2 linked regions of the Oryctolagus cuniculus genome follow. The protein of the gene in region 1 purifies or fractionates together with the protein of each later gene. This does not show direct contact. Links are inferred from orthologs where the notes say so. Each region holds a gene or a part of one and is shown on either strand. Other genes may lie near its edges.

Region 1 (4,068 bases):
TCATTAATTATTCACTCTGTTTTCAAAAGATATATAACTAAAAGTGTCTGTGATCATCCAGTGGTGATAATAATCTGGGCTTATTTTTACCTGGTTATTAAATAACAGGAAATACGGAGGCCAGTTCTGTGACATAGTGGGCTAAGCCTTCACCTGCAGCACTGGCATCCCTTGTGGGTGCCGGTTCACATTCTGGCTGCTCCTCTTCTGATCCAGTTCTATGATTATGGCCTGGAAGGCCAGCTCTCTGCTGTGGCCCAGGAGTGCAGTGGAGGATGGCCCAAGTGCTTGGGCCCTGCACCCACATGGGAGACCAGGATAAGCACCTGGCTCCTGCCTTTGGATCAGCGCGGTGCGCCGGCCGCGGCGGCGATTGGAGGGCGAACCGACGGCAAAAGGAAGACCTTTCTCTCTGTCTCTCTCTCTCACTGTCCACTCTGCCTGTCAAAAAAAAAAAAAAAAAAAAGGCCTGGGAAAGCAGTGGAAGATGGCCCAAGTGCTTGGGCCCCCACGCCCATATGGCAGATCTGGAGGAAGCTCCTGGCTCTTGGCTTTGGATCGGCCCAGCTGCAGCTGTTGCGGCCATTTGTGAAGTGAACCAGCAGGTGGAAGACCTTTCTCTCTGTCTCTCTCTGTCTGTAACTCTGTCTCTCAAATAAATAATCTTAATAATAGTAATAGGAAATATGGTTAATTCAAACAACTTGAAATCATGCCTCTCTAATTAATATATATTAAATCTGTTATGAAATGAAGAATAAGCTCTCTACAATTAGATGGCTAAACTTAAAACCCTCTTTGTTCCCCCAGCAATGACCCAGTCTATTCCAAATCACAGATCTGAGGAAATAACACTCAGGTTGGGACAGAGACTGTGCTGGGCATAGATAGATCATGGCGCTCACCTCATTATATTGGATTTTCCACTGTATTTGTTGGCCTTCCATGCATCTCTAAGGATCCTGTCCTTCCACGGCTGTATAACCAGAGCTCAGGGAGGAGCTAGCACAGAGAAGGTGCTTGGTAACTCTCTGGTTGGGGCTAGCTGTTTCTCTTCTCTCCTGTGTGCTGGATTAGTGCACAGCCACTTCCTACATCTGCTGCTCAGTTGCAGTGGGACCTGTCAGCTTAACCTTTCTAATTTCTCACCTCCAACTGGCATGGCATTTTGTGTGTGGTTTTAGCACTGCTTCAGGAAAGGCAAACTAACTGTCTGAAATACTTTCATCTCAGAGAGGGATTTATAATCATTTTGTTAAATGATATTTTGTTAAACGAGCATTTGTGCCATAAAGTGAAAGTAGAAAGACAGTTATTGAATAATGAAATTCACTTTCTTGTGGCAGTGGGCATTTAGCCTAGAAGATTAAGACACCTGTGTACCACATTCCAGTGCCTGGGTTCGATTCCCAGCTCCTGCTCCTGACTCCTGCGTTTCTGCCAAAGCAGCTGGCAGATTAAAGTAATTGTGTTCCTGCCACCACCGTGGGAGTCCTGGATTGAGTTCCTCTGGCTTTGACCCAGCCCAAACCATTGTGGGTGTCTGGGGAGTGAACCAGCAGATGGAAGTGCGCTCTCTCACTCTCACGCTCTCTCTCTCTCTCCCCCCCCCTTCCCTCTCTCTCTCCCCTCTCTCCCTCTCTTTCTCCCCACTCCCTTCCTCTTCCTCTGAAATTAAAAAATAAAAAATCCTTTTCTTGGGCGTCTACGGTAAAGCACGCGATCTCCATGGCTATCTTAGAGCAGCCCAAATGACCCTGGCTGATGTGTGGCCCAGACGGGAGCTCTAGGAAACTGAAAACTGGAATTGTCACTTGGGACAACCGCCTGCCCCAGTTTGGCTGTGCATACATTTCACATCTGTATTGTTATTTTAAAGACAGACGGAGCAAACCTCACGTTTCAAAAGTTACTTAAGGAAGTCTCACAATTAACAGAGCAGCCCTGTGACTCATTTTTGGAGACCCGTGTAGAAATAACAACTCCTCCCTTTGCTGAGAAACGGCTTCTGCACGGGCCGGCCTGCGCAGCGCGGGGAGAAGCGCGGCTCCTGGTGAGGGTCCTCTGGGCGCCGCCAGCCAGCGAATTCACTCCGGGGCAGCCTCTGCCTGCGTGCTCTGAGAAAGTCGCGAGCGCTTGCCAGGAACCGCCTCAGCGCTATCATTTGGTCCGCATTTCCTGGCTCCTGAGTCACGCTGTCAAGTTCAAGTCAAGAGGTCCTCATTCTGTTTTTGAGAAAGTGCACCCCACTAGGAAGTGAGCCGTTTTATCAGGCCGAAGTAATGCCCCCACTTTCACAAAAGTGGGGTGGGTGGATCCTTGCAGAAGGCAGACAACAGGTGTCTCTGAGAACAATGCCCACTAAATCCTCAGTCCCTCGCCTTGGAAAAACGAAATAAATAAGAACCAACAACAAGCCATTGCGCTCCGTACGAGAAACCCAGTGTGGCGTCCCTAAGGGCCAGGAAGCGAGGGGTGGACCAGGGCCAAACCCGAAAACCTGGGCCCAGCATCCTGTCGCCGGGCAAGTGAGCGTCCCCTCCCGCCCTCCTTGGGCCCACACTCCCAGCTCCCCGCGTTCGGGACAGAAAAGGAGACCCAGGCAGGAAGGAACGAACCTGGACCCGGGGCGACCGTGCGAGCTGAGAAGCCGCTCTCTTACCCGAGCGCCGGCTTCGCGCTGGGCGCCAGGACGCAGAGAAAACCTGTTGCGCGCCTCTCCGCGGCTCAGCTCTCGCCGCCTCCCACAGCCTCCGCTCCTCCCGCGCCAGAGGCTGGGCTCAGCCGCCGCCTCCCGAACTCCGAGCCGCCGAGGCCGCATCTGGGCGCCGCCGGCTCGGCCCCCGACACTTCGCAAGAGCCCACGGCTGGGATCGAGGCCCCGCCCCGGGACGACAGCGCGGAGGCGCCGCGTCCACCAGCTGCCCGCGCGCAGGTTCCCGCCCCGCCCGCTGCCGGTGCGCTCCGGGCTGCCCGGAACCTGGGGCTCGCGCGCGCCTGCGGTGCGCCGCCGGGCGCTCCCGTGAGGTCGGGGTAATTGGCCACCCGAAGCCATCATCTGTCCCCCGCCTTCCTCTGGGCCCCTGCGGGAAGCGCCGGACTTTCCCGGGGAAACCCCGCGGCTCTGGTGACATTTGCAGCAGGGTGCGTTTCCGTGGCGAGGACGCTTGAAGCGAATTCTGAGCGTGGGTGTGGCCGCCAGAGGACGGCTGAGACGAGGCTGCAGGTCACACGATGGCTGGGCACTGGCTTTCCAGAACCCACGCCGACCGGCACCCTTCAAACCTTTGCCAACGCCAGTTTGAGTTCATTCATTCACTGAGGAGCCAGAGACACGACCATGGCCAAAATATTGCCAAGCCTCTGACGTCTTTGTGGGAATAGGGAAGCAGATACAGTGCGTATGTATTGTGGAAGGCGGTGGGAAGAGCCTTGAAGACCGAGGCTGAGACTTAAAGGTAAGAATAGTGTTCATTAAACACACACACACACACACACAATAAATAAGGGCCAGCGCTGTGGCACAGCGGGTTAGCTGCCTGCAGCACCGGCATCCCATATGGATACTGGTTGGTGCTCCAGCTGCTCCACTTCCTATCCAGCTCCCTGCTAAGGCACCTGGGAAAGCAGCTGAAGATGGCACAAGTCCTTGAGTTCCTGCACCTACGTGGGAGACCCAGGTGAAGCTCTGGGCTCCTGACTTCAGACCGGCCCAGCTCTGGCCAGTGCAGCCATTTGGAGAGTGAACCAGCAGATGGAAGCTAGTGCGCTCGCTCGCGTGCTCTCTCTCTCTCTCTCTTCCTCCCCCTCTCAAATAAATGGAAGGAAGGAAGGAAGAAAGGAAGGGAGGGAGGGAGGGAGGGGAAAGGAAGAAAGGAAGGAAGGGAGGGACGGAGGAAGGGAGGGAAAGAAAGAGAGACACAAACAAACCAAACTCCCACAAAGATGGGAGAATGTAAAAAAAAAAAGAGAAGCAACCAAAGGCCAAAGCTTGAATGGTTTGAGCAAGAAATTAACAAACATCATTTAAAGATGGCACATTTCTGAGAATTGCCTTAATAGTTGATG
Region 2 (4,150 bases), on another chromosome or scaffold:
TTCCCTCTCTCTGTAAATCTTTTTGTTTGTTTGTTTTTAAGATTTATTTTATTATTTATTTGAAAGGCAGAGTTACAGAGAGGCAGAGAGAGAAGTCTTCCATCCATTGGTTCACTCCCCAAGTGGCCTCAATGGCCGGGGCTGGGCTGAAGCCAGGAGCTTCTTCTGGGTCTCCCACATGGGTGCAGGATTTGGGCCAGTCTTCTATGCTCTGCCACAGCAGAGAGCTGGATCAGAAGTGGAGCAGCCGGGACTCAAATCAGCGCCCATATGGGATGCCAGGACTACAGGTGGCAGCTTTACCGGCTATGCCACAGCGCCGGCCTCTGTAAATGTATTTTTTTAAAAGATTGATTGATTTATTTGAAAGGCAGAGTCACAGAGAAGCAGAGGTAGAGAGAGAGACAGAGACAGAGAGGTCTTCTATCCATTGGTTCATTTCCCAAATTGCTGCAACATCTGGAGTTGGGCTCATCAGAAGCCAAGAGCCTGGAGCTTCTTCTGGGTCTCCCAAGTGGGTGCAGGGACCCAAAGACTTGAGCCATCTTCTACTGCTTTCCCAGGCCATAGCAGAGAGCTAAGAGTAGACGGGACACAAACCAGTGCCCACATGGGATGCTGGCACTGTAGGCAGCAGCTTTTACCACTACACAGTAAAATGAGCGGGCTGACTGAGCCACCTGTGTGCCTCAGAAAATGTCTCTGTGGGTCACCCCACCCCAACCCCAGTCATCAGACTCATTCCTTGGTCCCATACCAATCAATGGAGCAGAGCAGAATAGGAAATGGGGACCCAGCTCATGCCAATTCCTGAAATAGATGCAAAGGCAACAGAAACAGCAGAGCCTCGCCCCTCCCGTTCACCATGCCCTCCCTTGGTCCCAGGGTCTTCCCGTCTCACAGTGGCTTCCAGGTCCTCTGTCTTGTTGCGCAGCTGGTCCAGGTTTTCTCCTCGTGCCAGGATCCGCTCCACATTCTGGGTCATTATATTCTTGACTCCCTCCACCTCACTCTGCAGGTTCCGCACTCGGTCATCTCCGCCTCCGCTGGCCGCCTCCTGCGCACAGCACAGGGGCTAATTAGGCCAAGTGACAGAGGACCAGAGGGAGACCCAGCCACAGAGGCCAGGGCAGTGGAAGGCCTCAGGTGGACGTCAGCCTTTACAATGCTTGCATTGTTTACAAACTATCTTTTCCTGCTTTAATGCATCTGTAAGCCCCAGCAGGTGAGATCTGATGCTGGACACCATCACTCAAACTTTCGGGTTCCCAGGGCTCCTGGCAAGGAAGAAAGCAGCATGGCTAACTCCCTCTCGGCTGCTTCCTCCTCCTCATGGGGTCGCAGGCACTGCAGAGCTGGCATCTCACAATGTCCCCCTCCAGCGCAGACCCCCCGCGATTTACCAAGTCCTAGAGCCCTCCCTTGCTTCCTGGACCCCCCTGAGTCTTCATTAAACCTGTCAGTGCCAGCCAGCAGGACGCCCCACCTGGCCCAAGCCTGCTCCGGCTCCCGGACAGCTGCTGGAGGATTGCTTCGGCTCCGGGGCTTCCTGGACAGCCTGACCCTAGTTCCATGGCTATGACCCAGAGCCAACAAGTCCCTCACACGGCGCCATGATCCGCTGAGCACACACTTCTGCTTTCCCCACCTCTCAGCAGAGCCTGTGCAGATACTAAGTGAAAACAGGCACCTGGGCGCTGGGGGAAATGGAGGACAAGTGCTGCCCGCCTGCTGCCTGCCTCATCCTGCAGGGTTCATGATAAGGTTTTTGATCAAGGAGGGAAAACAGGCCTCCCAGCCTGGCCCTCGGGGGGGGGGGGGGGCAGAACCTTGCCAAGGGTGTGGGGCGAAGCTGGATTATCGCAGAGAACCAACTTATGGGTCTTTTACAGGCCCCCGGCTGCTTCCTTAGACGCGGTACAGAGGGATCCTTTGGGTTTCTGCATAGGGAGAAAGCGGGAGGCCCGGTGGGAGAACTCCCGCCGCCGCTGGCCTGGAATCTGAGCCGGGAACAGCAGAGGCGCTTGCTGTCCAGCGGTGTCACAACACCCAGTTTGTCCCTGCCAGGGGAGGCGGGGGCGGGGGGCGGCAGAAAGTGGCAGCAACTCTTTGCCTGGAATTCGGACGCCCCCCCAACCCCCACCGCGGCCCTGCTCGGGGCCAGCACGGAGGCCAGGGGAGGGAGGTAGTGGGGCAGGGACAGGAACACCGCCCAGGCGGCTCAGAAGTATTTGCGGCCAAGTTGTCAGAGAGGCCACAGACAGCGCCGGCCCCAGCCCTCTGACTTCACCACGCACCCTCCCCTCTCGGCAAGGCCAAGCCCCAGTCCCCAGCCCCCTTTAGAAAGCAGCCCCCGTCCGGATCGCTCACCATGTCTGCGAGTCGCTGGGGCCCGTCAGCGGCGGAGCTCACCCAGGCTGCTTCCTCCCGGGCAGCCCTCGCTCCACTTCCTGCTTGCTCCAACTTTCAGCCCGCCCCTGCCCACCTCCATCCCTGCGCTCGCGCCACACCTAACGCAGGTTTCCTCAGGTAGGCGGGCTCCCGCCCCCGCCCTCCCAGTCTCCACCCAACCAGGGCTTAAACTTAAAGCCACAAGGCTCCCCGGGAGGGCACCGAAGGTCTTGCCACTTGCCAGAAACGACAAAGCAAAGATCAAGCAACCTTCCTAGGTTTCCTGAGGCGGGACAGACTCCTTTTTATGTCTGGGATGTCTTAAGCACCCTGCGGGCCGAGATCACGTGAAAACAGGTGCAGAGGTGACAAGATCTTGCCGAAGCCCTTGTACTTAGGACTGCAAACACTGGGAAAAGTCTGGAATGCTGTCACCCCAGGCTCGGGTGTCAGAAAGCTCAGGGTTACCGGCTGCATGCTGCCTAGTGAACTTCCTCACCTCTTTCTGTATTGCAGGTGCAAAGGAGTAAAAGACAGCTCACACAATGTGCCTGACAGTGCCTTGAACAAAATAAGTAATCAGGAAATGATGGCCCACCAGCCCTTCCCCTTCCCTTCCCAATTGCCTTGCATGTGCCTTGGGAGGACAGTGTGTGTGTGTTTTGGGGGAGGTTGCTGACCCTATCAGTGGTCAGAGGACAGCCCAATGAACCAGACAGGGACGACCCAGGGCAAAGGATTTTTCCACCAACCTGGCCCTGGGCCAGAGAAAGGCCAGAAAAAAAATCCTCTCTTCCTGGATGGTGTTTATCAAGACACAAGAACAGTAACAGGGACCTGCAGAAGGGAACAAACATTCTTGCCTCTTCCCAGAAGAAATGGCAGTTCCAAAGAGGAAATATCAACTTCACCAACACATACTTTTAAAAAGAGAGAGAGATTTATCTGAAAGGCAGAACACCAAGAGAGGACAAGAAACAGAATAAGAGTGATCTTCCATCTGCAGGATCATTCTCCAAATAGCTGCAACAGCCAGGTCTGGGCCAGGCTGAAGCCAGGAGCCAGGCACTCCATCCAGGTCTCCCATGTGGCTGGCAGGGGCCCTGGTACTTGGGCCTTCCTCTGCTGCCTACCCGAACACGTTAACAGGAAGCTGGATATAAAGTGGAGCAGTCGGGACTCAAACCAGTGCTTTTAAAAAGTCTTTAATACATTTTGTCTTGAGACATCTTTTTTCTAACTTAAATACAATTTTGTCCCCAATTAGGTTGTAAGTTTATTAGATTATACAGACATGAATTTTAGTGGCCAGGACAAATAGCCTGGGAAACAAAGTGTGTACCAGCCTGCTTTGGCAAAGAAACATGGCTGCCTCACCCTTCTCAGGTTGCCACAAGGCCAGGTGGAGGAGGAGTGGAATTCTTAGTCTCTACTTGTGTCATCCAGACCAGTTGCCATTAACCACTTGGGCTGTTGAGTACTTGAAATGTGGCCAGTCTGAACTGAGATGTGTTGTAAATGTAAAATACACACCAGAGTTCAAAGACGTAGTATGAAAAGAAGAATGGAAATATCGCATTCATAATTTCATATGTTGATGGCATGTTAGAATAATGTCTCGGGGGGTGAGTATTATGGCGCAGTTTTTAAACCACAGCTCAGGACACCTGCATCCCATATCGGAGTGCCAGTTTGAGTCCCGGCTACTCCACTTCCCATCCAACTTCCAGCTACTGCCTGGGAGGCAGCACATGAAGGC

What was found. Proteins that work in one complex are often made in the same cells at the same time.
Region 2: the proteins of STX11 (region 1) and VAMP8 purify together in Homo sapiens (co-immunoprecipitation; 3 studies listed by BioGRID and IntAct, counting the BioPlex papers as one, with this or other methods). This does not show direct contact. The link is inferred for Oryctolagus cuniculus from reciprocal best matches to the Homo sapiens genes STX11 and VAMP8.

Annotation. Positions count from the first base shown.
Region 1 is NC_091436.1:24,388,027-24,392,094, forward strand, and holds the start of STX11 (syntaxin-11), read right to left. Parts: upstream 2,803-4,068; 5' UTR 2,663-2,802; exon of another isoform or gene 2,619-2,662; intron 1-2,618. UniProt on the Homo sapiens protein: SNARE that acts to regulate protein transport between late endosomes and the trans-Golgi network.
Region 2 is NC_091433.1:117,071,442-117,075,591, forward strand, and holds the start of VAMP8 (vesicle-associated membrane protein 8), read right to left. Parts: upstream 2,809-4,150; 5' UTR 2,374-2,808; coding exon 2,371-2,373; intron 1,058-2,370; coding exon 902-1,057; intron 1-901. UniProt on the Homo sapiens protein: SNAREs, soluble N-ethylmaleimide-sensitive factor-attachment protein receptors, are essential proteins for fusion of cellular membranes.